Linked DNA regions of Elephas maximus indicus. The protein of the gene in region 1 interacts with the protein of each later gene in a pairwise test. Links are inferred from orthologs where the notes say so. Each region holds a gene or a part of one and is shown on either strand. Other genes may lie near its edges. The genes, in order: FOSL1 and USF1.

The links.
Region 2: the proteins of FOSL1 (region 1) and USF1 interact in binary tests that used the Homo sapiens proteins (3 or more experiments, as listed by UniProt). The link is inferred for Elephas maximus indicus from reciprocal best matches to the Homo sapiens genes FOSL1 and USF1.

The regions. Positions count from the first base shown.
Region 1 is NC_064825.1:129,036,870-129,052,121, reverse strand, and holds FOSL1 (fos-related antigen 1), read left to right. Parts: upstream 1-7,172; 5' UTR 7,173-7,416; coding exon 7,417-7,518; intron 7,519-9,724; coding exon 9,725-9,922; intron 9,923-12,183; coding exon 12,184-12,291; intron 12,292-12,694; coding exon 12,695-13,114; 3' UTR 13,115-13,768; downstream 13,769-15,252. Other genes in the region: CCDC85B (coiled-coil domain-containing protein 85B), read right to left, coding at 14,579-15,187.
Region 2 is NC_064821.1:199,852,987-199,868,232, reverse strand, and holds USF1 (upstream stimulatory factor 1), read left to right. Parts: upstream 1-8,778; 5' UTR 8,779-8,906; intron 8,907-10,775; 5' UTR 10,776-10,860; coding exon 10,861-10,868; intron 10,869-11,264; coding exon 11,265-11,314; intron 11,315-11,459; exon of another isoform or gene 11,460-11,461; coding exon 11,462-11,577; intron 11,578-11,904; coding exon 11,905-12,006; intron 12,007-12,247; coding exon 12,248-12,443; intron 12,444-12,683; coding exon 12,684-12,771; intron 12,772-12,903; coding exon 12,904-12,962; intron 12,963-13,121; coding exon 13,122-13,216; intron 13,217-13,431; coding exon 13,432-13,560; intron 13,561-13,747; coding exon 13,748-13,837; 3' UTR 13,838-14,471; downstream 14,472-15,246. Other genes in the region: ARHGAP30 (rho GTPase-activating protein 30), read left to right, coding at 322-404, 561-668, 1,266-1,393, 1,902-2,073, 2,154-2,257, 2,335-2,412, 3,205-3,606, 4,901-5,166 and 1 more; TSTD1 (thiosulfate:glutathione sulfurtransferase), read left to right, coding at 14,803-14,875, 15,045-15,167.

The DNA.
Region 1 (15,252 bases):
TCATTTTACTTTTTTTTTTTAATCTCCCTCCCATTGCTTTTGTCTGAATGTTTCTCCCACCTCTTATTAAGACAAAGATGACAAGAGGAAGAAGGAACAGTCTTTTCAACAAATGATGCCAGGACAACTGGATCAAAAAGAATGGCAAAAGAATAAAGTTCGACCTTTACTTTACACCATATATAAAGATTAACTCAAAATGAATCAAAGACCTAAATATAAGAGCTAAAACAACAAAACTCCTAGAACACATAGGCATTGATCTTCATGATCTTAGATTAGGCAATGGTTTCTTAGTTATGATATATAAATAACAAGCAAACAAAGAAAAATAGATGAACTGAACTGCATCAAAACTAAAAGCTTTTGTGCTTCAAAGGACACCCTCAAGAAAGTGACGACAGCTCACAGAATAAGAAAAATCTGCAAATCATATATCTGGTAAGAGTCTAGTATCCAAAACATATAGAGAACTTTTACAACTCAACAATTAAAAAGACAACCCAACTTTAAAAAAGGCAAAGGATATGAATAAATAGTTCTCCAACAAAGAAATACAAATGGCCAATAAGCACGTGAAAAGATGTTCAACATCATTAGCCATCAGGGAAATGCAAATCAAAATCACAATGAGATACCACTTCACCCCCACTAAGATGGCTATAATCAAAAAGGACAATAATAAGTTTTAGCAAGGATGTGGAGAAATTGGAACCTTACACAATGCTGATGGGAATATAAAATGGCACAGCCTCTTTGGGACTTCTTCAAAAACTTAAACACAGAGTTACCATATGACCCAGCAATTCTACTCCTAGGTTTATACCCAAGAAAAATAAAAGCATATGTCCACACACACACACAAAAAAAAAATCATTCTGAGCAGAGAACAGTAATATATAGCATAGTACTAGGAAACTGTTTTGCGTGAGGGATTTAATGTAGGGAATTTTTTTTTTTTTTAGGGGCTCATGGAAGTAGTACTGGAAACGGTTAACACACTCTGCTAACTGAAAAGTTGGCACCTTGGAAGAAAGGCCTGGTGATCTACATCCAAAAGATGTCAGGCATTGAAAACTCTAGGGAGCTCGGTTCTACTAGGAAACACATGGGGTTACCATGAGTTGGAATAAACTCTATGGCAACTGGTTTACTGGTTAGGGCTCATGGAAGGCCTTACTGAAGATGGTGACCAGACATGAAGGGTAAAACAGCTGGCCAGGTGAGGGGGTTAGGGGAGGGTACCCCGGGCAAAGGGTACAGACTGTGCAAAGGCTGAGAGGCTGGGTCCAGCATTGAAGCTAGGCAGAGGGAGGAGCCTGGGCAGGCAGCCAAGGTCCACCAAACCTGGGAGGGCCTAGAATGCCATGTCACAGATTCTGGGTGCTTTCAAGAAGCCCGGGCTCTGAAGACTGACTGCCTAGGTTCAAATCCTGGCTCCACCGCTTCATCGTGTGCTGCTTTTAGCTAGTCACTTAATTTCCCTGTGCCTCCATTTCCTTTTCTGTAAAATGGGTATAGCATGATTATCTATTTCCAAGCATTGTTGTGAGGATTAAATAAATACTTTGAATAGTGTATGTGTGAGCCACTGGTGTTATCCTCGTAGCCCTCCAAGTTCCCCCCACCCCATCAACATGCAACCTATAAGAACTCAGGGGGCATCAAGCATCCCTGCCCTACCTCTTCCCAGGCCTCAGCAATTCTGAAGGGGCCAGAACTCAGAAAGGTCCAAGTCAGAGAGAGACAGGGGTCAGAATTTTTAAAGATTCCTTTGTGAACATTCTCATGATTAAAAAAATACAACTCCTTCAAGAATGAAGAACACCAAAGACATAAGGTAATTACGAGGCCAAGAGACAGAAAGGGCCACATAAATCAGAGGCTACATCAGCCTGCGACCAGAACTAGATGGTGCCCAGCTACAACCGATGACTGCCCTGATAGGGCACACAACAGAGAACCCCTGATGGAGCAGGAGAACAGTGGGATGCAGACCTTAAATTCTCATAAAAAGACCAGACTTAATGGTCTAACTGAGACTGGAAGGACTCCGGAGGTCATGGTCCCCAGACCTTCTGTTAGGCCAAGACTGGAACCATTCCCAAAGCCAACTCTTCAGACAGGGATTGGACTAGACTATAAGATAGAAAATGATACTGATGAGGAGTGAGCTTCTTGGCTCAAGTAGACACATGAGACTATGTGGGCAGCTCCTGTCTGGAGGGGAGATGAGAAGGCAGAGGGGGACAGAAGCTGGCTGAATGGACACATCGAATATTGAGTGGAGAGAAGGAGTGTGCTGTCTCATTAGGGGGAGTGCAACTAGGAGTATATAGCAAGATGTGTATAAGTTTTTGTATGAGAGACTAACTTGACTTGTAAACTTTCACTTAAAGCACAATAAAAAAAACAACAACAACTTCTTCAGAATGCTGGGTGGAAAATGGAGAGGAGGGAGCTGAGGTGGAGGCTGGGAGACCATCCAGGAGAGAGAGGATGGAGCCAGGATCAAGGAGAATAAATGTTTGTCACAGTGAACTGAAATGTCAACACCAGATGTGGAGCAGTGGGAAACCCTTACCCATTGCTGGTGGACTATAAAGCAGCACAGCTGCTTAGGCCAACAGTTAAGTCAAATCAACTAAAGCCAAACATACACCTACCCCTGTGACCCAGCAATTCCGCCCCTGGGCATCTATCCGAGAGAAATGAGTGCGAATAGCCACCAATGGACACATCAAGAAAGTTCACAGCAGCCTTATTCGCAATAGTCCCAAACCAGAAGGGTCCCAAAGGCATCAGCAGAAGAATGGAAAGACTGTGGGATATTCACGCAATGGAATTCTACCCAGCAATAGAAAAGACCAGACTACTAGTTCACCCAATAACGTGGGTGAACCCTGCAGACATGTTGAGTGAAGGAAGCCAGATGCAAAAAAGCACACGCTCAGTGTTCCGTTTATATGAAGTTCAAGAGTAGGTAAAACTAATCTATGATAATAGAAGTCACAATAGTGGTTAACTGGAGGTGGGGGTAATGACAGGAGTGGGCATTAAAGAGAGTTTCCAAGCTGCTGAAAACGTCCTTGATCTTGATCTTGTGGCTACCCAGGTATACATGTAAAAAGTCATTGAGCGGAATACCGTGATGATTGAACTTTACTCTATGTATATTTCAATTACAAAAGTGAATGGAAACTAAAAAAATAAACATCACCTCCGGCGGCACTGATTGAGCACCTACTGTGTGCCAGGCATACTCCTCCACCACCCCTTTTCATCTCCCCACAACCCTAAGAGGTGAGGCTCTCTGGGGCTCAGAGTAGGTAAGAGGTTGGGTCAGGCTCACACGGCGGCCAAAGGCCAGGGCCAGGGTCTCTCAGGCCTCCCCCACCCCAGACTCCCAGCAGCCCCTGTGGCTCCTGGGGTTCTCTCCTGGCCTCCCTGGGTGGCAGCTAGTGAGGTCAGGCCCCAGGAACGTTTCTGTAGCCACGAGGCAGGAGTTGGTGACTGAGGAGCTTGGAATGTGCTGCTTCTGTAAGGACCTTCTTGTGGCTCGGCCGACGGTTAGAGCAGGAAGGGACTTTCAGAGTCATGTAGTCACACACACACCAAAAAATAAAAAGTCCCACCACCATCGAGTCCAACTCATAGCAACCCTGCAGGACAGAGGAGAACTGCCCCACAGGGCTTCCAAGGCTGTCATCTTTAGGAAAGTACTCTCACATCTTTCTCCTGAGGTGCAGCTGGTAGGTTTGAACTGCTGACCTTTCGGTTAGCAGCTGAGCACTTAGCCACTGTGCTACCAGGTTTCCTTTACACACACGCGTGCGCACACACACATACACCCCCTATTTAAATAAAGCCCAAGAAACTGAAAACCAGAAGGACCAAAAGACTTGTCCCAAGTCAGGAGTGGGGGGCTGAGCCCCCATTCCTTCAGCTGCACAGGCTGCTTGGGGAGGGGTCAGGGATGGTCTTTGGAGGCATGAGGGTGAATGCAGTCCAGGCTGACCTGTGTCAGGCCTTGAATGTGCCACCACCTGGCCACCTGTGTCACCCCTGACCTGACTTAGTTGGGTCTGGCCAAGGAAGTCAGCTATTCGTGTGTGTATGTGTGTGTCTCAACCCGGAGGCTTTTATTAACATGTGTATTTATTTTCGATACTATTTATCAAAGGAGCCCTGTTGGCTTGGCACAATGGCTGGCAGTTCGAAGGCACCAGTGGCTCCACAGGAGAGAGACCGGGGCATCTGCTTCCACAAATATTTACAGTCAAGAAAACCCTATGGGGCAGTTCTACTCTGTCACATGGGGTCGCTATGAGTTAGAATTGACTCAATGGCAGCCGACAACAACTATCACGTTTTTACTATGTGTCCGGCTCTGTATTAAACACGTGATATTATTTTACTTCTACCCCCCAATCGCCTCATGTACATGTGAAAGCTGGATGATAAGTAAGGAAGACCGAAGAATTGACACCTTTGAACGGTGGTGTTGGTGAAGAATATTGAATATACCATGGACTGCCCAAAGAATGAACCAATCTGTCTTGGAAGAAGTACAACCAGAATGCTCCTTAGAAGCAAGGATGGCCAGACCAGGTCTTACATACTTTGGTCATGTTGTCAGGAGGGATCAGTCCCTAGAGAAGGACATTGTGCTTGGTAAAGGAGAGGGTCAGCGAAAAAGAGGAAGATCCTCAACGAGATGGATTGACACAGTGGCTGCAACAATGGGCTCAAGTATAACAACGATTGTGAGGATGGTACAGGACCAAGCAGTGTTCTGTTCTGTTGTACATGGGGTGGCTATGAGTTAGAACCGACTGGACAGCACCCAACAATGACAATAACAGCCCCCAACAACCCTGAGATGTAACTATAATGATATCTCCATTTTCCAGAGGAAAAGGAGGCTCTGAGAGATTGTGTATCTCATCTGGGTCACATGGCTGGTGAGGAACCCAGCAGAGTCCAACCCAGGACCCAGAACTGTCTGACTCCAGCGTGCACGTTCTTCCCATGGGTCACACTGTTGTTGCAAAATCTCTCTCTCTCTCTCTCACACACACATACACCCCTATGTTTCTCATTCTGGTAAACTGCTGTGGTTTCTTTTCCTTTCAGAGGAAGACAAGCCTTAAATAAAACAAGGTCAAAGGGAGAGGCACCAGCCTGGCAGCCACCTCCTGAAAACACAGCACTTTACAGGTTACAAAGCACTTTCTCATCAATGATCTCATTTGATCCTCACAGCAGCCCCACGAGGTCACTGGGAGGTCCAATCATTGCCACTGGGACTGAGACTTGGAGGGGAGCAGGGCGGATTATCCAATAAACAAGGTAAGCACAGGCTTTCTTGTGCTTACTTACTGATCATAGTGAACAACTGTTCGCATGTGAAATTGCTCACTACAGACTAGCAAGTAAGCACAAGTAAGCCCGTGCTTGCCTTGCTTACTTGGCCATCTGCCCCTGTCAGGGATTGTAAATTTGAAGAGTCTTTGATTCTGTAGGAAGATGCTGTGGGGTTGGGAGAGAGACATGCCAGCCATACCTAGAAGCAGAAACTTTGATGTGGTGAAAAAAAGTGCAATTGTTCACTACAGACTAGAGAGTAAGGGCAAATAAACCTGTGCCTGCTTTGCTTATTGAATAATTCACCCCTGGAAGCTAGGGGACACAACAGGAAATGACAGCTCTGTGACTGGAACCCCAGAGTCAGGCTGGCCTCCTGGCTCCAGCCCTGAGTGAGCCCACAGACCCCTTACCTTTGTGCCCATGACAGGCTGCCCAGGGCCCTGCCCCCTGGAGCTCTACTGGAGCTGATCAGATGGAGGTTCTGGTGGAAAAGCTGGAGAGCCCAGCATTCTTTCTACAGCTGTGTGACGTTAGCAGCTCCTACTCTTTCTGGGCTTCAGTTTCCTCATCTGTAAAATAGGGGGGGGCACAGAAGCTTTTGGACGGTCCTCTCAGCACTGACGTTCTGCATGTGTGGAATAGCGTCTGTGACGCAGTGAGGGCTTTGAAAAATCTTGGCTGAGCCTGGCCTTAGAGCTCCTACAGCCCTAGTTTGGGAATCTGGTCCAGCCCTTCACCTAGTGACCCTGGACAATCATTTCAGCCTCTCTCAGCCTCAGCTTCCCCATCCGTAAAATGGGGATGATGGTGGTACCTACTTCCCAGGATTGTTGGTCTTTGGTTGCTGACTTTTGATTCCGGCCTCAGGTTCATACAGACCTTTGACATCATCTCCAAACAATGCTGGTGACCACACAGTCCACAAGTAGCATGACAGTATTTAAAGAAGATGGTGTTCACCAGACAGCTAGCCACTGGAGTCCCATCGCAGAATCCCACTCCATAACAAACCAACTCACTGCCATAGGGTTGATTCTGACTCACAGCGACTCATGTGTTACAGTGTAGAATTGCTCCTAGGGTTTTCTTGGCTGTAATCTTTATGAAAGCAGATTTCCAGGCCTTTCTTCGTCCGCGCCACTGAGCAGGTTTGAACCGCTAACCTTTAGATTAGTAATCGATCGCAAAACGTTTGTGCCACGCAGGGACCTTAAAACGTGTTCGAGCTCCTGCAATTTCCAGTCAGCAGCACGACGATATTGCATTGTATCTGTGGACTGTTCAAAGCATTACTCTGTTCTTTTAAGCACTTAAAATAGATCACCATGTTTATAACTCTGATGTGTCATTCATTCATTTTTCAGTATATCCCGAGCCGTACAGCAATGCCAGTGGCCGGGCCCCCTGCCACAACTGTGAAACCGTGCGTGGCACTTAGCATGGTTTCCGGCATGAAACAAAACACCCAGTGATAATGATAAAATAAATAATGTATCACATTCATAATCCATTTTACAGCTTCCAAACTGCTTTCCCATTCATCATTCCACCTCCCACGCGCGGACAGGTAGCTCCGGAACGACGTCGTCCCATTTCACCGCTGCAGAGGCCGAGGCCGCGTGCGGACCAGGGCGCGCGGGCGGCGGACCGAGCGGCGGGGCGGGGCGGGGCGGGGCGGCCGCAGGTGCGTCAGGCCGGGGGAACCCTGGGCTCTACCTGGGCGCGCCGAGGAAATTGCACCATGTATGGGCAGCTGCGTCAGAGGGCGGAGCCCTGCACAGAGCCCCGCCGGCGGTCGCGGGGGCCCGCGAGTCCGCCCCTTCTCCGAGCAGAGGGGGCACCGGGCCGCAGGAGGCGTCGCAAAGCTCGCGCGGACGGCACGGGCGGTGCGTCGGGAGAGGGAGCCCAGGGGACCCGCCGCCGAGCACCCCCGCGCAGTCCGAGTGGTTCAGCCCGCCAGCGTTCATTCACAAAAAGCGAAGAGTCGGCGAGGAGACGGTGAGTCAGGACCGAGCCGCCGCGGGCCCGCAAGCAGCAGCCCAGGGCATGTTCCGAGACTTCGAGGAGCCCGGACCGAGCACCGGGCCGGGCGGCGCGTACGGCCCTCCCGCGCCCAATCCCGCCGCGGCGCAGGCGGCCGCCCAGCAGGTGAGACGGCTCGGACAGCGCCTGGGACGCCGGGGTCCGCTCCGGGACGAGCTGGGGACCGGAGAAGGACCAGAGCGGGGGCGGGGGACCGATGAGGGGCCAGGGCCAGGGGCCGGGGGCCGGCTAGGGCCGGGGGCCGGGCCGAGGACCCTGCCCATTACCTGCCGTCCGGGAGCCACGTTCCCTCCACGGCCCAGGGGGATGCGCGGGACGACCTTCGGGCGCCGCTCCTCGCCCGCCCCCTTCCCCGCGCTGCCTGCGGTCGGTCCCTCCGTCTGTTTCCTTCTTTCCTTCCTCCTGCCCACCGCTAGTTCTCCGACGGGGATCAGGGACATCTGGGTTAGTCGTAGCCCCACCAGGATCAGCGAGGCTCTCCATCTCGGGCTGGATGCCCGGGCTCCGGGTTTGGGCTAAGGCCGAGACGTGCGGACACTGGAGGGAGGCGGTCACCATCGGCTGACCAGCCTCTACAAAATAGGAACTCGGCGCTGCCTGTGACTGTGTGTCTGTCCGTTGGTCTGTCCCTCCCTCCCCCCACTCTTCACTGAGGCTTCACGCTTTTCGGTGGCTGTCTGGCAGTGGAGCCTGGTGGTTTCCGGAGACTGGCTCTCGACCCCTTTCCCAGTTGGGGCCACTAAACCCTACGAGGCCTCGGGACGTGTGCGGCGTCACGCAACGGGCAACGCCAACGCCCCGGATCCTCGGCCCGCACCGGCGCCCGCTGCCGGCTGGGGGAATCTGGGAGGCTGCAGGTGCCCATTTCCTGTCAAAGGGCCGCGAGCACGTGTCACCAGGGGAGAGAATGAGCGGGCGTCCGTTCCGCCGAGTCACGGCGGCCGAGTCACGGCGGCTGAGTCACCCGCGGCGCCCCTCCCTTCCTGGCCCCGAGCGCCCTGGCCCGGACAACCTCGGGAGCGGGAGATGCCGCCGCTGGCAGTGCCTCGGGCCCGGAACTGGGGTCACCGGGTCACTGGGACAGCAGCCTTAGCCGGGGCCACTGCTGTCGAAACTTGCCTGGGCTTGTGAAGAGCTTCTCAGACGACAGGTCGCCCACACCCAGGGCCCAGCTCCAGGCCTCTAACCCTGTTCTGCTCCCAGAACAGTGTGCCCTCATCCCAACCCATTGCTCAGATTCCTGGCAGAAATCATCTCAGATAACCTTTGGCGTGTCATTTACAGTGTGCCAGGGAAGTGCTAGGCGCTTTCCACTTCATTGACTATTCCACCGAATCTAAGAAACGATGATTTTAAAACCTACCATGAGTTTGTGCCAGTAAAGGAAAAAAATGTCAATTAAACTATGATTTCAGAGCTATTAAAAGGTACTTCTGAGAATCAGTGAAATGCTGTAATTCTCACCTATTAAACCAAAAAACACAAAACAAAACAAAACAAAAACCCAAACCTGTTGCAGTGGAGTCCATTCTGACTCCTAGCAATACTATAGGACAGAGTAGAACTGCCCAATAGGGTTTCCAAGGAATGGCTTGGTGGATTTGAACTGCCAACCTTTTGCTTAGCTGCCAAACAACCACTGCACCAGCAGGGCTCCCCTCACCTATTACAATGTTACAAATGAGGAACTGAGGCACAATGAAGGTAAACAGCTTAACAGCTTGCCCAAAGTCACACAATCAGAAAGTGGCTGAGCCAGGTTTAGAACTGGGATTGCCTGAACCCAGCGCAGTGACTCCTGCCCACCACAGTCCCCTGCGCATTAGGCACTTGCCACTTACCAGGCTCTGTCACACGTTCTCTCACCTGATTCTCACAGTTACCCTCTTTGTGCAGATGGGACTCAGGCAGGGTGCAGGGGTAAGGGCAAGACTCTGGAGCCTGGCGAGCTGGGGTCCCACTTACAGACTGTGTTTTCAGGCAATTCTTCCCCGGACTGAAAATGAAGTTACTACTAGAGCAGTCCTCATAGGGCAGTTGTGCAGAGTATATGAGTCAGTCTCTGTAAAGTGGTCAGGACAGCGCTTAGCAGGGCAAACAGGCACAGAAAAGTTATGTGACTTGTGCAAAGTCAAACAGCTGAGCAGGGATTTGCCACCAAGTCCGTCTGTCTGACTGCCAAGCTGCGCTCTTTCTGATCTCCCAGAACTGGCAGCTGCTTTGGGAGTGGATGGCAGTGTACCCTCTGTCTACTAGATGCCCCTCAATCCACACAGAACTCATCCTCGGCCATCCACTTCTTGTCCCCCAGAAATTCCACCTTGTGCCAAGCCTCAACGCTGTGAGTGGCAGCCAGGAGCTGCAGTGGATGGTACAGCCTCACTTCCTGGGGCCCAGCAGCTATCCCAGGCCTCTGGGCTACCCCCAGTTCAACCCGCCGCAGCCCCGACCAGGTGTCATCCGGGCCCTAGGGCCACCTCCAGGAGTGCGGCGCCGGCCCTGTGACCAGGTAAGGAGCAGACGCCTGGCCCTGGTTCTGATGCCCATAGGGCTGCTAGGGGGCTGAGAACAAGCTCCTGCCAGAAAAGGAGAGCACAAGCCTAGAAGGCAGGGTCACTGGCAACTATTGCCCAAGACAGAAAGTGACTGGAACCCTTGGAGAGGCCCAGAAGGCAAGGAGGTCCCTTCTAGATCAGGGAAAGCTTCCTGGAGGAGGGGGCATACTAGCCTCCAAGGATGTTAAATCCTAGGGTAGGATTTGCAAAGGCAGAGATGAAGAAAAGATGAAGTTCTGGGTGGAGGGAGTGGCAGGCACAAGGAATGGAGGTAGAGGTGAGGATGTGAACATGGAAAGGTGAGAGTATGGCAGAGGGCCTCCCCCCACTGGCATGTGCAGGGGAGTGGGCTGACGCTGTCTGTGGCACTGCACAGCTGGGGAGAGAAAAGGAAAGAGTGGATCCCCTTCAGCTACTCTCTAGGTCTCAGTTTCCCTATCTCATTTAATTCTCACAAGAACTCTCTGGGGAATGTACTCTGATTCTCCCCATTTTACAGAGGAGAAAACAAATGCCCAGAGGAGTAAAGTTACTTGCCCAAGACCACACAAGGAGTGAGTAATGAGCCTGGGTCTGTCCAACCCTAAAGTCAGCTCCTAACCATCCAGGCACACTGTTTCACCAGAAGCTGCCAGGAGGCTCCAAGCAGCATGATCCGGGGTCTCTTGCCTTCCCAGTCAGGGCTCCTGCCCTCACCACTTCTCAAATAAAGTCCTTGCCAAAATAAATAAACCAGAGATAGGGGGGCTTTAAGGGATAATAAATAAGAGAGCCTCTTGCCTCCCTAGCCAAGGATACTACCCTTACACTGCTCAAATAAAATCTTTGCCAAAATAAATAAATGAAAGATAAGGGGGGCTTAAGGGATAATAAGTAAGATAGGGGGCTTTCCTCCTTCCTCTCCCTGGAGCGTTCTGATCTGTGAGGCAACAGTGGGGTGAGGTCCGCATGTTAAAAAGCTTGCTCCAACAGCAGAGTAGAGAATAGGGAGGATGGGATCCTGGGAAAGATGTGAGATGGGCCAGGGGTGGTTTTCCCAGAAGTAGAACGGATGCAGGGGACTTTAGCGAGAGAGCCCCAGACACAGGCAAGCCAGGGGTAACCGCCTTCTGGACTCCTGCCCTGTTGTAAGGGTGGCACTTTGATTCTGGGCACTCCCAGGTTGGGGCTGTGAGTGGTTCTTTTGGGGGGAGGTGGTCTCCATAAGCTGGCCAGTGTCAATAGAGGTACCCACTGCTGTCGAGTTGATTCCGACTCATAGAGACTCTATAGGACAGAGTAGAACTGCACCGTAGAGTTTCCAAGGAGCACCTGGTAGATTCAAACTGCTGACCTCTTGGTTAGCAGCTGTAGCACTCAACCACTATGCCACCAGGGTTTCAATAGAGGTAGTGGACTCTAATTCCTGATCTGGGACCTTACCCAGGGATTCATCCCCCCTGAGCTTCAGTTCCTCACATGGAAAGTGGTTAAGAATCGTATGAAGCACTTAGCTGACACATAATTAGTTGTTTTTGTTGTGTGCCCTCCAGTTGATTTCGACTCATAGCATTTCTATATGACAGGGTAGAACCGCCCCTTAGGGTTTCCTAGGCTGTAAATCTTTAGAAGAGCAAATTGCCTGGTCTTTTCTCCTGTGGAGCGGCTGGGTGGGTTAGAACCACCGACCTTTGGGTTAACAGCAGAGCTCTTTAACCACTGTGCCACCAGGGCTCCTTTAGCACATAGTAGGCTCCTAGTAAATTACGACTTATTCCGGAGCACTCAGTAGCCCCTCCTAGTTTTCACAGTCCCAGGGGAAGAGGCCCCTTGGTCTTCAAGAGATGGAAAGAATGAGGGTTCTGGTCAAAGAGGGTTGGGGGCCCTGCTCCAGGTCTCAGAGGAGCAAAGGCCACTTCTGGCTGGGGGATGAGAGAAGGCTTCCCAGAGGCGAGGGCATTTTAGCTGAGTCCCGGACGACGAGGAGGTTTAAGGTTTGTGGAAGGGGAGGGCACTTGGTGTGAGGAACCGTAGGAGGCAGAGGCTGAGTGCCAGGAGGAAATCTGACCGATCCAGGCTGCCCAGACCGTGAGTGCGGGAAGTCGGCTGCGGTGCTGTGGTCTCTATACCGTGTCCTCCGCCAGGGGTCTACCCCTGGGCCACCATGGGGGGCGGGCGCTGGGCAGCCTGCCGCAGTGGTGCCTCACCTTCCACCCTTCGACCCTCTGTTCCCCAGATCAGTCCCGAGGAGGAGGAGCGCCGCCGAGTGAGACGCGAGCGGAACAAGTTAGCCGCTGCCAAGTGCCGGAACAGGAGGAAGGAACTGACCGACTTCCTGCAGGCTGTGAGCCCCGGCCCCCCAAGCCTTAGGGGGACCCCGTGGGAACCAGGGGCGCCTAACTGCCTCCCTAGCTAAGGGGAACCCTTCTGGAAAAAGGACGAAGACAAAGCGATTAAAAATTAGTTGCAGCGCATCTCACTCTGTAACCATGCAAATCTACTCCCCTTGACTCTTTCCTAAAGCGCATAATCAGGGCTGGGCTCAGAGCAGAGCTCTTGCGGACTACAGCTTTCTAGGACGCCCCCAAGCCTGATGGGAGTCGTGCCCATTCTCTCCCAGGGGCTCACGGGAGTTGTAGTCCAGCCTTACACAGGGGCTCCCAACCACCCCCACCCATCCTCCCAGGCTGCAGGATATTCAGCCCTCACCTTCCTCATTCCTCCCCTGACCTTTTGACCTTTTACAGGAGACCGACAAACTGGAGGATGAGAAGTCTGGGTTGCAGCGAGAGATTGAGGAGCTGCAGAAGCAGAAGGAGCGCCTGGAGCTGGTGCTGGAAGCCCACCGCCCCATCTGCAAAATCCCAGAAGGGGCTGAGGAGAGCAGCACAGAGGACACAAGCGGCACAGGCGGTACCAGCAGCCCGCCTGCCCCCTCCCGCTCTGTGCCTTGTATCTCCCTTTCCCCGGGGCCGGTGCTTGAACCCGAGGCGCTGCACACGCCCACGCTCATGACCACGCCCTCCCTGACCCCATTCACCCCGAGCCTGGTCTTCACCTACCCCAGCACCCCAGAGCCCTGCGCCTCGGCCCATCGCAGGAGTAGCAGCAGCAGCGGGGACCCGTCCTCTGACCCTCTCGGCTCCCCCACCCTCCTTGCTTTGTGAGGTGCTCCAGCCCCTTCCCTGCAGGTGTCACTCTAGCCAACACCTCTACCCTCATTGGTCCAGCTGGTCTGGACTACAGTCCATCCCAAACCCAGCACGTTCTTCTCCATCCCTCCAGATGAGACTGAGCATATTTTGCTTCAGGATGGAACCAGCTTGGGGCCACCAACGCTGCTCACTGTTTCTCTCGAGCTGGCCCCTCTAGCACAATTTGCACTACATGAGAGACAAATTATTTCCTGCTTGTGCCAGAGAACTCCCAGCAGCCCAAAAGGACTTTGTAGAGCCTTCGAGGTCCTCTGGAGTCCTAACCTCTTCCAGACCCACCCCCGTAGCCTACATCACCCTCTTCCTGTCATCCACCCAGCCCTACTCCCTGACAGAAGGTGCCGCCCTACCAGCCTAGAACACTAACCCAGCCCCACTGCCAGCAGCACCACCTGATCGGACCAGGGCATCCTTCAGGCCCCTCTGAAATGGCACAGCCCCGGAGGGCGTTGGAGGCTTCTGTGATGAGCTCACCTGTGGCACCCAGCTCTGAGAGGCCTTTAGCTTCAGGGAGTCCAAGCCCACACAGCAAAGGCAGCTGCTATTTATTTTCCTTAAGAGAGTATTTTTGTACAAACCTGTCAAACGGAATAAAAAGGCTTGAAGCTCTGGTCTGGGTGTTTCATTGGACCCCGAGGCTAAAGGGGGAACATTTGAAGCCCGAAGCCCTGGGCTTGTTTCAAATCCACCCACTCACTGCCTGACCTTGGATAAATTCTTTGATATCTCTGAACTGGGACGTTTTATCTGACAAATGAGGCTACGTCTGTTACGCTTCATCTCCTGGACTGGAGAGAACAGTGCTCAAGAGTGCAAGTGAAGAGGATTACCTCCTCCTCCTCCAGGGGAGGGCCCACAGGGGAGAGCTGGTATGCCCCTTCCAGCCTCAGGGGAGGCGGATTGAGTTCCAGGCCCCCGACACCTGCTTCCTGCCCCATTGTCTTGGACAGGAAGGAGCCGGGAAGTCACTTCAGGGTCTGGATCATGGCCTGTCCCACAGCCCCACGGGGGGAGTCAGGGGCCTACCACGGTCCCCTATCCCACCCCAACCACGAGGTAAAGGGGGAGCCAGCCACCTTAGCTCTGCGGTCCCTCCAGAAGGGGATGGGGCCCCGTCTCAACATCCCCGCCCTCGTCCCAACCCCGGCGAGTCCCAAACAGACGCTGCCCAGGCGGCGGGCTCCGCTTCCTTCCCAGTTTATTAGTACCCACCCAGCCCCCAGCAAGTTTCTCCGCTCCAGCCTCCCTGCACCCCATTGGCCAAAACGAGGAATTCTCTTCGGTGTCAGGGTTTCTCAGTTCATGCAGGCCGCCCCTCGGGCGAAACCAGGGCGGCGCTCCGGTTCCGAGGTCCACCGCAATCCCGTCGTTTGGGGCGCAATCCAGGCGGGCGCCGGTGCCTAGGAAGCGGAGCCCTCAGTCATCAGGGGAGCAGGCCAGGGGCAACTGATCAGGGCTGCCCACGCTGCCGGTGCTGGAGCTTCCATCGCCCAGGTCGCGGGGCCCGCAGGGGGGCAGGGCGAGCTCGGGGGTCGGCCCCGGGCCAGAGCCCCCCGTGCCGCCGGAGCCGCCGCGGGGGCCCCACTCCTCGCCCAGCGCCAGGCAGAGCTCCTTAAGTGCCAGGTTCTCCCGCAGCAGCTCCTCCTGGCGGCCCTCCAGCTCGGCCAGCTTCTGCCAGCAGCCTCCCAGGTCCTCGCGCACGGCCCGGGACGCCTGGGTTCCGAATAGCTGCCACTGGCGCGCAGCGCGCCGCCCTCGCTGGCGCTCCGAGTCCAGGAAGCAGCAGAGGTCGCGCAGCTCGCGGTTCTCAGCCTGCAGGCGCCGGTTGAGCTGCTTGAGCTCGCGGATCTCGCCCAGGTGGCCCTGCAGCTGCCGATTCACCTCCTGCATGAGGCGGCCGCGCTGCACCAGCGCCGCCAGGCGCGCCGCCTCCTCCCGCCGCAGCCGCCGCACCAGCTCCTCTTTGCCCAGCGCCGCCATCTCCTCGTCCGTCAGCTCCTCCAGGCCGCCCGCCTCGGCCTCCATTGCTGCTTAGGCCACTGGAGCATCGCCCGCCGCCCAGGAGCCCCGCGTCGGCCCAGCGCCGCTAA
Region 2 (15,246 bases), on another chromosome or scaffold:
AAGAACTCTGCAGTCCCAGGGGCTCCCGTGAGGTTGGATCCATGGATGTATTCCCTTACCAGAGCTTTACCGATGAGGACCCTGAGGCACAGAGAATGGCTGTGAATTGCCCAAGGTCACACAGCTATTAAGTGACATAGCCCAAACTCAGCCCCGGATTCTGAGCTCTCTCTGCTATGCCAGTCTGCCTCAGGAGATCTGCGGGGGAGTGCAGGGGACAGCACAGATCCTTCCTGAGAGTTTGTCTCGGAGTTCTGGGGAGTGAGCAAGGGCATTGCTGGGTCATTGACTCCTGCTCCTTGTACCCTTCTCCCCAATCAGGAGGCCGTGGGAGTGCAGATGGAGCCTGAGCGCTTGGTCAAGATCGTAGAGGTGCTTCGAGAGCTCCCTGTCCCAAACTATAAGTATGTGGGGCTCTGCCGCTCCCACCCAAGGGCCCTGACTCCCTGCACACAGCCCGGGCTCTCTTTCCACCTGGGGCCTTGACTTGTCCCTCCTCCCTCCAGCTCCCAGGCTCCAGTGTGGATAGGTCCTTGTTAAATGATGCCTCCTTCCTGCAGGACCCTGGAGTTCCTTATGCGGCACTTGGTGCATATGGCCTCCTTCAGCTCCCAGACCAACATGCACGCCCGCAACCTGGCCATCGTGTGGGCCCCCAATCTGCTCAGGTGGGAGTGCGAATGAGCATGTGTGTGGGGATCCTGGGAGAGACTAGCTGTGGGAGGCTGCTCCAGGATGGGGTGTAGAGGGAGCGGAGAGGGCAGTGGAGTCCCAGGGAGCCGCTGAGAAACAGAAAGGCTTAGTACTGCTTTAAGTGGGATGGGGCCTGCTCTCAGCCACACTGAGGCCCCTCTCTGAGCTCAACTAAAGCCCCTAAGTTTGGGGCCTTTGTGTCTTCCACGACTTTATTGTTGAGCTTAGGGACTGGAACATGTTAGGTGGTGGCTAAATGTTTGTTGAGCAAATGTCTGCAGTCCATTGGAGGACTGACCTGCATGCCACCCACCAAGGTAAAGGCAAGCTATGAGAAGTCCTGTAGTTCATTATACACAAGACACCTTGGGAGTGCAAAGGAAGCAGAGGTCGATCCTGAGGAGGGTGTCCTAGAAGGCTTCCTGGAAGAAGTGGCATTGAAACTTGAATCATGTGCATGAATTAAAAGGTGGAGATGGCGTTAAGGGCATCCAGGATAAAGGTATTTTCAGGGAGCATTAGGATGGGAAGGTGGAGGGTGCGAGGAGAAAAGTAACTCCACATCTCCACAGGTCTAAGGACATAGAGGCCTCGGGCTTCAATGGGACAGCAGCCTTCATGGAGGTGCGCGTGCAGTCCATTGTTGTCGAGTTCATCCTTACGCACGTGGACCAGCTCTTCGGGGGTGCTGCCCTTTCTGGTCAGTGTCCTCCCCATCCCCCACATTGCTGCTTTCTGTCTGGGGGTCATGTCAGAGTTAGAGAGGGCCTCAAAGATCAACTAGTCCAGTCTTTCCATTTTTGTAGATGAGAAAACTGAGTCTAGGTGTAGAGGGATGATGCTTATTATCACATGGACAGGACCCTGGAGAGATAACGGCACAGTGAAAGACTTGAGCGGGGCTATTCCACTGTCAGTTCAGGGTGTAGCCTGAGTTCTCATTCACCATCCTGGTCCCTAAGGCTAGTGACTGCTCATTCTCATCCCCAGCCCACAAGACCAATGTCCTGGTATCTATCTCCTGGCACTCTCTGTCTGTAAAGGCCAACTCTTGAGGTCCCCCCTTGTAGGGCCTATCTCTGGGGGTGGTTCTGAGTATATACCCAGCGATCCTGGCAGCTGGAGAGTGGGGGGAGGCAATGAAGGGCTGGGTGCCTGCGGTCCCTCTCCGGTCTCTTCCCGGCCAGCCAATTTTCTTTTCCCCCCAGGTGGTGAAATGGAAAGTGGATGGCGATCACTTCCAGGGGCCCGGGCGTCAAACAGTACTGAGGACTTTATGCCCCGGTCCCTGCCCTACCACTTGCCTAGTATTCTGCAGGCTGGCGATGGACCCCCACAGATCCGGCCCTACCACACTATCATTGAGATTGCTGAGCACAAGTAAGGCCTCTTTCCTGGGCCCTCCTCCCCTGCACTGACCACCAGCCCCCACTCCCCAATTATTTCCCCATTCCTTGCAGGAGGAAGGGGTCTTTGAAGGTCAGGAAATGGAGATCCATCTTCAATCTGGGTCGCTCTGGCCATGAGACAAAGCGTAAACTTCTACGAGGGGGCGAAGACAGGGGTAAGCCTAGGGATTTGTGGGGAGAGCTCAGCTGATGTGTGTGAGGCTCTGGCTCTATGCACATCTCTGTCTTGCAGAGGACAAGTCTGATAAAGGGACACTGCGCCCAGCCAAGAGCATGGACTCACTGAGCGCTGCAGCTGGGGTCAGTGATGGTGAGTAGAGGTGTGCACCTGTGTGCATGCACACGTGTGTTGTGTGATCAACAGCATGGGTCTGTGTGCATCTGTGTGTATGCATGCCTGGGAATGTATTTGCGAGAAAATAAGGTATTATGGCTGAGACCACAGTGCCTGCATTTCCCTGTGTGTGTGTGTGTGTGTCTGTGCGTGTGGCCACTTGTGCTCAATGATTTAAAAAATATTTAACGAGTGTGCAATAGTTTATATACCAACTACTGTGCTGGATGCACAATAGTTGGTACGTGCTGGATGTGGGGAAACCCTGGTGGCATAGTGGTTAAGTGCTATAGCTGCTAACCAAAAGGACAGCAGTTCGAATCCACCAGGTGCTCCTTGGTAACCCTATGGGGCAGTTTTACTCTGCACTATAGGGTCGCTATGAGTTGGAACTGACTTGACGGCAATGGGTCAAGTCAGTCGGTTGGGTTGGTGCTGGATGCTGGGGTTACAGTGGTGAGTTTATGGCCTATGTGTGTGTTCATATGAGTGTTTGCACATAGATGTAATGGGGACAGTAAGCAGTGGATGAAGGGGCAGTGTGTGTGTGTGGCAGTGGTGGCCAGTGACTGTGCGTGCAAGAAGGGGAAGGGGGCTTTCTAGATATGTGCAGGCAGAGAAAATTGCGTTCTGCTGGTTGGGTGGAGGGTTTGCGGTAGTGGCAGAGGAAGCTGACCTGGTACAACAGGGGACATTTTTTGGAGTCTTCCTTAGGTGACCCCTTGCAGCTGAGGCCATTGCCTACCTGGTCCTTTTTCCCCTCCACAGAGCCAGAGGGGCTGATGGGGCCCAGCAGTCCCCGGCCAGGCCCGCTGCTTCCTGAGAGCTTGGAGAACAATTCTGTGGAGGCAGCAGAAGGCGAGCATGAGCCTGAGGCAGAGGCACCGGCTGGCACAAACTCCGAGCCAGGCACACCACGAGCTGGGCGGTCAGCAGTTCGGGCTGGTGGCACCAGCCGTTCAGAGCGCTGTGCTGGCGTCCACATCTCAGACCCCTACAACGTCAACCTCCCGCTACATATCACCTCTATCCTCAGCATGCCCCCAAACATCATCTCCAATGTCTCGTTGGCCAGGCTCACCCGTGGCCTTGAGTGCCCGGCCCTACAGCCCCGGCCAAGTCCTGCCTCTGGTCCCAGCCCTGGCCCTGGCCCTGGCCCTGGCCCTCCAGGTGAGGACCCTGGGATTACCCAGGACTGGGAAAGGAGACTAGAACTCTAGGCTGAAGCTCTCATGCTGTGATCTTCCCTGAGAAGGGCAGAGTCCTCAGCTCCTGTGCTTTGGGGTGGCTGTCTTCAGCTGCCTCCCTGTGTTTGGGGTTGGGAGAATCTAGTAATAGTATTGAATTCTGCAAAATCCATGGAGAGAGAATCCCTGGCAGCCTGCAGATCACTGATATATCCAAGAATAGAGGTCCGAGTCAGACACATAGAGAAGGGATTACTAAGTACCAGTGTGGGAATATATAATAGATGGCAGAAATAATAATAACATTACGAATAATACCTAATATTTATTGAAGGCTTATTATGTGTCAAGTGCTGTGTTAAGCACTTTGCAGGCATTAGTTCATTTAATTTTCTCATAACCTTATACCAAAATCAAACCAAACCCGTTGCGGTCAAGTTGATTCCAACTCATGGTGACCCTATAAGACCGAGTAGAACTGCCCCATATGGTTTCTAAGGAGCAGCTGGTAGATCTGAACTGCAGACTTTTGGTTAGTAGCCGAACTCTTAACCACTATACCGCCAGGGTTTCCCATAACTTTATAGCATTAAAAAACCCAAACCTGTTGATGTCAAGTCAATTCCGACTCCTAGTGACTCTATAGGACAGAGCAGAACTGCCCCATAGGGTTTCCTAGTAGCACCTGGTGGATTCCGACCGCTGACGTTTTGGTTAGCAGCTGAGCTCTTAACCAGTACACCACCAGGGCTTCTCCTGATAGCATAGGTGTTATGTTTGTTACAGTGGGGGAACCTGAGACTTAGGTTAAGCAACGTGTTATTAATATAGGTAGGAACTGGCAAACCTGGGATCGGATCTTTGCTCCAACTCCAGTCCCTAAAGTGTCACTGATGAGAAGTGCTAAGGCAGCATAGTACAGTGGGTAAGAGCATGGGCTACAGACTTGGGTTCAAACTTTGGCTTTGCCACTTACTGGATGTGTGACCTTGGATAAATTGTTTCATATCTCTCAGCATCACTTTTCTTATACATAAAATAGGGGTAATACTCTACATAATAGGGTTGTTTTGCAGTGAAAATGCACTTTAGAGGAGTTTAATAAAAGTAGTGATAAGCCAATAGTTAGGGATATCAGTCTGAGAAGATCAACCATATCGGGTATCTATGCTGGGAGTTCTGGGCCCATACTGTATCAATGCCAGGAAGACCCACATTGGAAAGGGTCAGGGCTGGCCTGGACCTTTGGAATTCTGGGACTACCTCTCCCCCAACAGATAAGAAGTTGGAGGCAAGTGCAGCTCCTGATTCCTTGGCTGACTCAGGCCCAGTGGACACGGCCCCTGCTCTGGAGGACTCCTTGTCCCAGGAGGTGCAAGATTCCTTCTCCTTCCTAGAGGACTCAAGCGACTCAGAGCCTGAGTGGGTGGGGGTGGAGGATGGGGATGTGGCCAAGGCAGGAGCAGCAGGAGCAGCTTTCTCCCCTGGGGAGGACGACCCTGGGATGGGCTACCTAGAGGAGCTCCTGGGAGTTGAGCCTCAGGTAAGAAGGAGCTGTGCTGGGTTTGGGGGTGGTATGGGGTCTCAGGGTGAGCAGGGCCACCTGGTCCTGAGCCACAATGCTATGCCTACAGGTGGAGGAGTTCTCTGTGGAGCCACCCTTGGATGACCTCTCTCTGGATGAGGCGCAGTTTGTCCTAGCTCCCAGCTGCTGTTCCCTGGACTTTGCTGGCCCCAGGCCTGAAGCAGAGGAGGAAAGTGGGGAGGAAGTCTTCCTGAGTGCCTATGACGACCTAAGTCCCCTTCTGGAGCCCAAACCACCGACCTGGGAAGGTCTAGGGAGTCTGGAGGCAGAGGCAGCAGGGTGTAGAAGACAGGCTTCAGGGCAGGCTTCAGGAGAGCAAGCATGCTTGGAAGTTGGGGAGAACAAGGAGTCTGAGCCTGGAAATAGATGCGACATGAGGGAGGCTGAGGGGAGTCCAGAGACCAAAGTAGAGGTTGGAGAGTCAGGTGAGGAAGGAGTGGAGACTGAGGGAGACCAGGATATGATGGCTAGTTTGAGAGAAGGGAGTGGGGAAGAGACAGAGACCAAGTCCAAAAGCCAGAATGAAGCTGAGAATATGGAGGAGGCTAAGGGTGTGGACGAATCAGGAGAAGAGCAGAGTAAAGACGAGAAGGAAAGAGAGACTGAGAGAGAAGAAGAGGCTGAAGGAGGAGACAAGGCCCAGGTAGAACCTGGAAAAGACCCAGAGTATGGGGCCCAGGAACACCAAGTTGCTGAGGAGAGCTGGGAAGTTGTACATAAACAAGAGGCTGAGGGAGGCAGGGAAGATGATATCAAAGGACAGAGTGGGGATGGGGGCCAAGAGGCAAGAGAAGACCAAGGAGATGGTGAAGACATCAGAATCCTAGAAGCAGCAGCTGGAGGAACAGCGGAGGTCAGCAAGGAATGGGAGAGAGGGGATGGAGGGGCTGAGGGAGACCAGAGGGCTGGAGGTGACCATTTTGAAGAAGGCTCTCTCCCTGAAGGGTCAGGTGGAGAGTCCCTGAGCATTGATAGTGCCAAAGGGGGCAATGCCCAGTCCTTTGAGGAGGAACAGGCAGCCCCACAGCCACCTCTGCCAGAGGAGATGGAGCCTGAGGGGCAGCTTAGTCCAGAGGGCTGTGATCTGTGCCCCTGTCCCCCTGGCTTAGCTGGTGGTGTGGGCATGCGCCTGGCTTCCACCCTGGTTCAGGTCCAACAGGTCCGCTCTGTGCCTGTGGTGCCCCCCAAACCACAGTTTGCCAAGATGCCCAGTGCACTGTGTGGCAAGATCCATGTGGCACCTGCAAACCCATGTCCGAGGCCTGGCCGGCTTGATGGGACTCCTGGGGAAAGGGCTTGGGGGTCCCGAGCCTCCCGCTCCTCCTGGAGGAATGGGGGCAGTCTTTCCTTTGATGCTGCTGTGGCTTTGGCCCGGGACCGCCAGAGGACTGAGGCTCAGGGAGTTCGGCGGACCCAGACCTGTACTGGAGGTGGGGACTACAGCCTCATCCCCAGAACCACCTACGGTAGCATGCTTCCTGCCTATTCTCACCGGCCCCTTAGCTGCCTGGAGCACCCACCTGAAGGCACAGAAGGATCTGAATCCCGGAGTCGGCTTAGTCTGCCCCCCAGAGAACTCCAGCCCCCTGACCCCCTTAAGCCCCCCCAGCGCCGATCGTACGCATTTGAAACACAGGGTAACCTTGGGAAAGGTGAGGAACTGTGATTAGGACCTGGGCAAAGGGGACCAGTAAGCTGTCTTGAATCTCCAGGGTCCCTGACGAGCTGTAGAGCCTAACTCTACAGGCTTTGGCCTCTTGCTTCTCTTTTTGACTGTGGGAGGCCACAGGTTAGTTCGTTTACCTGAGCTTGTCTAAGACAGAAAGCACTTATCCCTTAGGAGATTCCTAAGAAAGTTACCAAGATCTGGTTCCTAGGGAGTGGGGTTATTGGCTAAAGGGAACATAGCCGGTGCCATTGAGTCGATTCCGACTCATAGCGACCCTATAGGACAGAGTAGAACTGCCCCATAGCGTTTTCAAGGAGTGGCTGGTGGATTTGAACTGCCAACCTTTTGGTTAGCAGCTGAACGCTCAATCACTGCGCCAAAAGGAACAGATGTGGGCAGAAAACTTAGAGGTTTTTCAAAGTGAAGAATGGAGGGGGAATTCCAGCCAAGTTCCTACTCTCCTCTGAGGCTGTGAACCTTCATGAAAGCTTAAGGTGAGGTGGGGAGGACAGGGCCAGGTCAGAGCCTATCACACACAAACATTTTGTGTTGCCCACCCCTGTTTTGTTCCTGGACCCCTGAATACTTCCTGTCTGAGCTTCAGATTAGGAGTAACTTATTCAGGAAGCTCTTTGAAGGCTTCAGTGTTTGTTGGGAGGACTGACCATCTTTCCAGCTCACCCACCTGCTGTCTCCAGTCAGCTTAAAGAAGAAGGGGTCCTGTATAGATCTCTCTGGCCTCTCCTTTTCCCTTTGGGATAACTTCCTCTGCTTCGGTTAAGATTTACAGCCTTGGAAACTCTATGGGGCAGTTCTACTCTGTCGTCTAGGGTTACTGTGAATTGGAATTAACTCGATGGCAGTGGGTTTGGTTTTGTTACCTTAGGGAAGGGGAATGGGGCCACTCAGGTCCTGGGGCTGCTTTTCCAGACCAGCTGAACCACAGATCCCACTCTAGTAAGTGGGGGCTGTCTCAGAATAAAAGTTGTATTTTTACATGTAAATAGTGTGAAGTCTCATTATTCTTACTAAAGCCGTGAGTGGTATCATCTCTTCACATGTTTGGGCAAATGTCTTTTTTTCTTTGCTGTTTGTTCTTCCTCAGATGTTGTCATGGAGACCTGTGGCTAGAAACTAGAGCTGAGTTCACGGTGGTCAGGAAAAGGGGAAGAGAAATTATATTTACATAATGCTCATTCTGTGCCAGTAACTGAGCTAGGTGTTCTACGTGCATAGCATCTATGCCCTTGACTTTATTTAAGCCACATAACAGTTCAGAAGGTTGACACTGGTGTCTACTCTTTACAGATGAGGTAACTAAAGCTTAATTAAGTTGCCCAAGATCTCAGAGGTAAGAAGTGGCAAAAGTGGGTATGAGATCTGGGTTTGTCTGGTCCCAAATCAATTAAGGGTTAGGTCCTGGCTAGTTGGAATGGGAATAAAAATTCCTTTCAAAGAAACTGAAGCCTTGGGTCTTTAGGTAAAGGACGGCTGACGCTAATACAAAGAAGTATGCCTAGTTAGCTGTCTTAATCTTCCCGTTAAGAAACACTTCAAACAGATGCCCTGATCCAAGATGGCCTCCCAAATGAGCCTTGTTAAAGATGGCGTCTCGGCCGGACTTCCCTCTCTGACCTAAATTGGCTCCCTCACTACCTTTTCCTGAGACTAAAAAATGCACCGCCCAGCACAAAGATGGTAGCACAAATTAGTCGTCTTTCTCCCATTCTTGCTGAAAACGGTTACGACTTCAGTGTCATTCCGACAAGATCCCAGGAAATGGCACCTTCTCGGTCCAGAGACACTCCAAACACCCCCGCATCCCTCAGCCCTCACCCAGGGGGAACGAACGGAAGTGGGGCGGATCAAGGGGCTGAGTCGGCTGGGCGGGTCGAGAGAGACACTTCCGCCCCTCATCAACATGGCTGCAGGCTGGGAGTGCGCATGAGCGGCTGCCCATGGAGATACCCGGGTCCGGAGGGGGGAAAACACTGTCGGGGAAAAGCAGCGCCTGAGGCGGCCTTGCCCGGTGAGTGCAGGACCAGACAGAAGTCGGGACACTGGGCGGACGGGCAAGGCAGGGCAGCTCTGGTTTGGTTTTAGTTTTCTGGGTTAGGGAACTCTTGGGTAGGAAGCCTTTGTTTTGGGGGAGGGGGCTCGCCTGGCTCTTTATCTCCTACCCCCCTTTGTGGGCCGAGCTCGCTCTCCGCCCCCGAACGGCGCGCGCCCCGTCCTGCGATGCGCGGCCGCGGGCCGTAGCGGGGGGCGCCGAGCGGCCGAGTCCGGGCGGGGACCGCGGGGCCTGCCGAGCCCCTGGCGCCCTTCCCTGCCTCCTCTGCGGAGCAGCCGGGGCGCGGGCTGGCGGCACGGGCCCCGGGGCTCGCGCTTGTCGTGCGCTCAGCTCTGTAAAGCGCCTCCTGGCTGGTGGGCCTCCGGGAAGATGCCGCATTCCCAGGCAAGGTCTCTGCGCCTGACTTCTTTGACGACTTGCCTTTTTTCCCTTTGTGTCCGGACTTAGCGAGGGATCTTGCTGGTCGCTCCTTGTCTGAGCGTGCACGCCACAACATCCTTTTCCTTTGCCGCGTCGCGTATGCCTAGTGCTCAGGAAATGCTTCCTGATGTCCCACTGAGATTTGAATCAGCAGCCTGACCCCGTTGCTGGTGCCCTCAGAGGCTGCCCCTAGCTGACAGCTGTGGATGATAGAGTTGCCTCCTTTCCTGGTGCCCTGCCCTCTCTTTCATTGCCGCCTCCTGCAGTCAGCGCAGCAAGCCTCGGGAGGGGCACCTCCTCCTCAGGTTTGAGGACAGAGGTAGGTGGTCCCTAGGTACTAGTGTTATTTCCACTTAGGGACTGGGATCTCCTTGCAGTATTACTTCCTCTGTCGCTTTCACTTTCAGTTCCTTTTTTTCAAAGACCTATTGACACTTTCCTTAGACACTGGCTTTCCAAAGTGTAACCGCTGAAGATTTTCCTTAGATTTGGGGAAACCTTAAAGGTAGAGAGTTTACAAAAATCTTGTTTGTTTCCTGTTCGGATTATCTTTTTGCCTTGCGCTGTGCGGCTGTTTTTTTCTGGAGGCATTGGTCTGCTCAGCCCGTTGTTTTTCCTGCCCTCTGTCTGGGTGTCAGGGTCCTAAGGATGGCACCTTATGAATGGATTCCTCCCCCATTGTTTCTTCTCCTTCAGAACCTTGAGCTTCCAGCTTTTTTCCTTCTTGCTGAGCCTCAGTTGAAATTTGGAGTTGTCATGGCAACATGTTAGCAAATGTGTTGTTTCACAGGAAGCCTTGGAGAATAAAATAGAGAGGTCTTGAAGATGCTGCATTTGTGCTTTAGGGTCTCTAACAGAAGACATGTATCTGAACACCCCAGAACAAGAGCTCTGTCAATAGAATGGGCCTTAAGGGCCAAGTCTGGTCTTTGTGGTTAGGGATGGTTTTCCAATGGCAATGGGCTTCATGCCATTGAGTTGAGAATAGAGATCTCTTGGTGTAAAGTATACATCTAAGAAGTTGAAAGAAGCATCAGTGTCCATAGCCCTGTGTTTTTTGATAGTGATAGTCTAACAGGGTCTAATCCCTATGAAGCTGCGGTCATGGCAGGTCATAATAGCTTTAGTAATAACCCATCCAGGTACAGGATGTTTCTCAGTCTTCCAGTCCAGTAATCCCCTCTCCACCAGGAGTTGGAGTTGTCGTGGAGGGGTGAGGAACACTATTTGTACGGTGGCTTTTTCAACCATTGTAGCCCAGTCCTCAGCATCAAGAATGGGGGAGGCTTACTGTCCCCTGCAGACGATTGGGTTATGTTCCTGGCTGTATCTTTATGGAGCCTAGTTCTAGAACCAGGAGGCTGTTGAGTTTCCTAGACTCACTGCAAACTCCCTGATTTCTACCAGGATTTAACACACAGGGCTGTGAGGCAAGACATACAAAGACCTCCAGAGAAGGACCAGTTCCTCGGATGTTCCCCCTCACAGAGAGATGAAGGGGTAAGTGAAGAAGAGGTAGGATCTGGGACAGAAGATGGGTGGCCTAGGAGAATGGCAGACTGGATAAGAGCACTGGCTCTGGAGTCAGGCAGATCTGGATTCAAGTCCCAGTGCCATCGCTTATTAGCTGTGTGACTTGGTTTCTCCATCTGTAAAATGGAAGTGGTGATACTTATAGGGCTGTTCTTAGTATTAGATAAGATAGTCCATGTTCAGTGCCTAGCTCAGTGCCTGTGCCCATAGTAAACACTCAGTCAATATTAGCTGTTGTTATTCCAGTCTAATCTCGCATCTGGTGCGAATGCCACTGAGTTCGGGAGCCATATGTTACTGGGTCAGTGAGCTTCTCATTCATTTCTTTCCTTATTCTTCCTTTTGTCCCTTCCTCACAAATAGGCAGCAGAAGACAGCTGAAACGGAAGAGGGGACAGTGCAGATTCAGGAAGGTGAGTGACAGAAATAGAACCAAGAGCCCTTCCTGGTCTCTCCGACGGCCTATCTCCTGTGCACCCTCCTCCTATGAATGACGTACCAGTGGAACAGAGGGAGAAAGGCAGCAGCTCACAGGCCCTTCCTTTGCTTTTTTAATTCAGGTGCAGTGGCAACTGGGGAGGACCCAACCAGCGTGGCTATTGCCAGCATCCAGTCAGCTGCCACCTTCCCTGACCCCAACGTCAAGTACGTCTTCCGAACTGAGAATGGGGGCCAGGTAAGGGAGGGGGCCAGGTTGCTGCAGGTGTGACCTGGGGTTGGGATTGAGGGAGGTAATTGAACATGTCTTGGGAGACTTGGCTTGGAGAATGAGGTGAAGATGTGGACTGTTTGGGGGATGGAGAGGTTTAGAGTAGAAATTAATGTGGGCCAGGGGCTATGCTGAAACTTCTGTAAGGGAAAGGAGGAGGAATGGCTCAATCTGTGTCTTTGAAGAATTCTTGTTTCAGGGCCCTAAGGGAAGCTTTGTGAAGGGCGCTGGGACCCCTAGTACTTACTCTCTTCTTCTTTGTTCTTCTCCTTCGCCTTCCTTCCCCACTTGTAGGTGATGTACAGGGTGATCCAGGTGTCTGAGGGGCAGCTGGATGGCCAGACTGAAGGCACTGGAGCCATCAGTGGTTACCCTGCCACCCAATCCATGACCCAGGTACAGGGGTTTGGGCTGGGGAGGGGGATAGAGCTCTAAGCAGTAAGACGAAGGGAACCAGTGACGACGCTAGGGATAGTGAGGCACCTAGAGCTGCCTTATCTCTTGTCCCTAGAGCTTCCCTAGGCTCTCCCTTTCTGGATTGTTCCCCCTCTTCCTCCCAGGGATAGAAGCTGCAGGATGGTATGGCAGGAAGAAGCGTCTGACTCACTGGACTCTGCTCTCTCGCTCCCCTTCCCAGGCGGTGATCCAGGGTGCATTCACCAGTGATGATGCAGTTGACGCGGAGGGGACAGCTGCTGAGACACACTATACTTATTTCCCCAGCACTGCAGTGGGAGATGGGGCAGGGGGCGCCACATCGGGAAGTACAGCTGCTGTTGTCACTACCCAGGGCTCAGAGGCACTGCTGGGGCAGGCGACCCCTCCTGGCACTGGTGAGATATCATGATGATGCAGGCTGGAGGGGCTAGGATAGGTTGTGAGACGTGACAGTGGCCCATCACGCATGACCTCTCAGGTGATCACTAAGTCCTGGGCAGGCAGTGAGTCTGGGGCTGACCTTCCAGCAGGAGGAAGCATGTTATTTTTAGAGGAAGGTCCCAAGGCATTGGCCTCAGAGCTTGATGAGGTTCCCAGTCCTATGTCCTGACAGAACCTACCCTGCATCTTCACAGGTCAGTTCTTTGTGATGATGTCACCACAAGAAGTGTTGCAGGGAGGAAGCCAGCGCTCCATTGCCCCCAGGACCCACCCTTATTCCCCGTGAGTGACCTTTGTTTCTTCTCAGTGACTATGAGGATGAGGGGTTTTGATCCCTGCCAAATCCCTTACCCCAGACTTCCACCTTATTTTTTGTCCTGTCCTCACTCTGGCCACCCTGGGCTCTGTTGTCAGGAAATCAGAAGCTCCCCGGACGACTCGAGATGAGAAACGCAGGGCTCAGCATAATGAAGGTAGATGTGATGAGGGCGTGAAGCTAGGAGCTGATTGGTGGGATTGGGGATGGGAGTGATGTCTGGGGGCAGGGGGGGCTGGGTTGAGTGGGGAACTTTTACCTTGGGACTTGTGGCAAGTTCTTGCTGAGTCACTTTGTCTTTCCCCTTGCCCCACAGTGGAGCGCCGCCGCCGAGACAAGATCAACAACTGGATTGTGCAGCTGTCCAAGATCATCCCCGACTGCTCTATGGAGAGTACCAAGTCTGGCCAGGTCAGTATGCCCGAGTAATGTCTCCTGATACTGCTTCCAGAAGTGCTAGAAAGTGGGGCACAGTGTCAGTGGTCTTTTTTCCTTCTCTCTGAGGTTCCTCTATCCCTGGGATATTTTACATCACCATCCTTGGGGGAAATGAGGTCTAAAGTCTGCAAGTGCTTTTGGAAAGTAGCTTAAATCTTGGTCCTCCTTTTGCTTTCATTTTCTTGCAGAGTAAAGGTGGAATTCTATCCAAAGCCTGTGATTATATTCAGGAGCTTCGGCAGAGTAACCACCGGTTGTCCGAAGAACTGCAGGGGCTTGACCAGCTGCAGCTGGACAATGATGTGCTTCGACAGCAGGTCAGATCCCAGCCTTCAACACAGCCCTTCCTCTACCCTGTAGCCACTGACCCGGTTTAGGGCTCCCTACTTGGTTCTCCACTGAGAGGACCTCACCTCTTTCCCCCCACCAGTGGGTGTTTAAGTTCAAGGGCTTGGTCGTGCCAACTTTTGTATGAATTCTCTTACTGCCTCCTTCCTGTGTCAGGTGGAAGACCTTAAAAACAAGAATCTGCTGCTACGAGCTCAGTTGCGACACCATGGAGTAGAGGTCGTCATCAAGAATGACAGCAACTAACCTGGGGATCCAGGGGCTTTGGGCCCTACAGCCCCTTTTTCAGAACTGCAGACAGCCCAGGAGCACCAGGCTAACCCGTGCCCCTTTCCTTCACTGCCCTTCTGGCATGGGACTCGGGGGAGTTCAGAAAGTGTGTCTTTGACCTGAGGCCCTGTGATATAGCAGCCTGCAGTGGTGTGAAACAGCCACGTGGACGAGCACTAACAGCCTCGCCCACCCCCAACAAGCAGCCCCTGGGCCCGTGTGCTCTTCTTGCACAATGCATGTGCTGTCTCGATGCTGGATACTGGACACACTTAACTGGAGAGCTTGTCCTGCGCTTGCTTAGAGTGCCCAGCAGAGGGTCTGCGGACTGGTGATGCTCTGGCTTGCTCCAGGACTCCAACGCTTCCACTATTCTTCCTTTCCTTGGAGCTGAGGTTCAGATGTGGACCTGGTTTGTCTGGAGAACAGGCTTTAGCAGGAAGTGGGAGAAGGGATGCTTAGCAATGGCTGCTGCCCAGGGAAGAGGAGCCTGGCCAGCAAGCAGCTAAGGCCTATGCAGATGTCTCTGGAGCCAGGGAGAACAACAGGCAGGGGCCCACCTGGGGCCTTCCCCTTTTGGGGGGAAGTTTTTTTTTCTTTTCCTTTTTTTTTTTTTAAACATAAAATTGTTCAGAGCCACAGTTGTCTCTCGTTTTCACTGCTTTTGTGGGCCCCAGGGCTGAAGGGAAGGAGCATGCTGCCCTTTGACCACTAAGGGCTGGGCTAGGTTTAGGGTGGGGTGGGGCTGGTGTGCTTATTACCCTGAACCCTGGTACCTGGCCCAGATCAGTGTGGAATTTCCAGCCCATGCTGGGCAATCGCAAGGATTTCTCTGGGGGGCGGTGTCAGCAGCAGCACTGACAGGTGCCTCGGGGGCGGTGCATGAGGCGGTGCAATTGCTTCCGGTTCCGGTCTTGGCGGCTCCAGGAGGAGCGGGGGAGATGCTGCGGGAGCTGACCTGGCGGGTTGGGGCCGCATTCCTGCGATTGATCACTGCGCGCCCCATGGCTGGAGGTAACCTGCGCGGAGCCCCTTGGATGGAGGTGCAGGGGCGGGAGAAGTGGTGTTGCTGAGACATCTGCATGCACCCCACTCCACCAGGACAGGGCGCTGCTGGCGAGGAGGCTCTGCGGCGCCGTGCCTTGACCGGGTCCCCTCAAGACTTTCGTGCTCCCTTCTTCAGTGCCCACGGTTTCGCTACCTGAACTCCGTTTGCTCCTATCCTCGGGCCGGGTCCGCCTCATCGACGTGCGATCTCGGGAGGAGGCTGCAGCTGGGACCATCCCAGGGGCGCTTAACATCCCGGGTATGGGATTGAGAGGGGACGCCCTGGTGGTGGAGTAAAGACTTGTCAAGGAAGGTATTAGCTAATGGGGCCGCAGGTA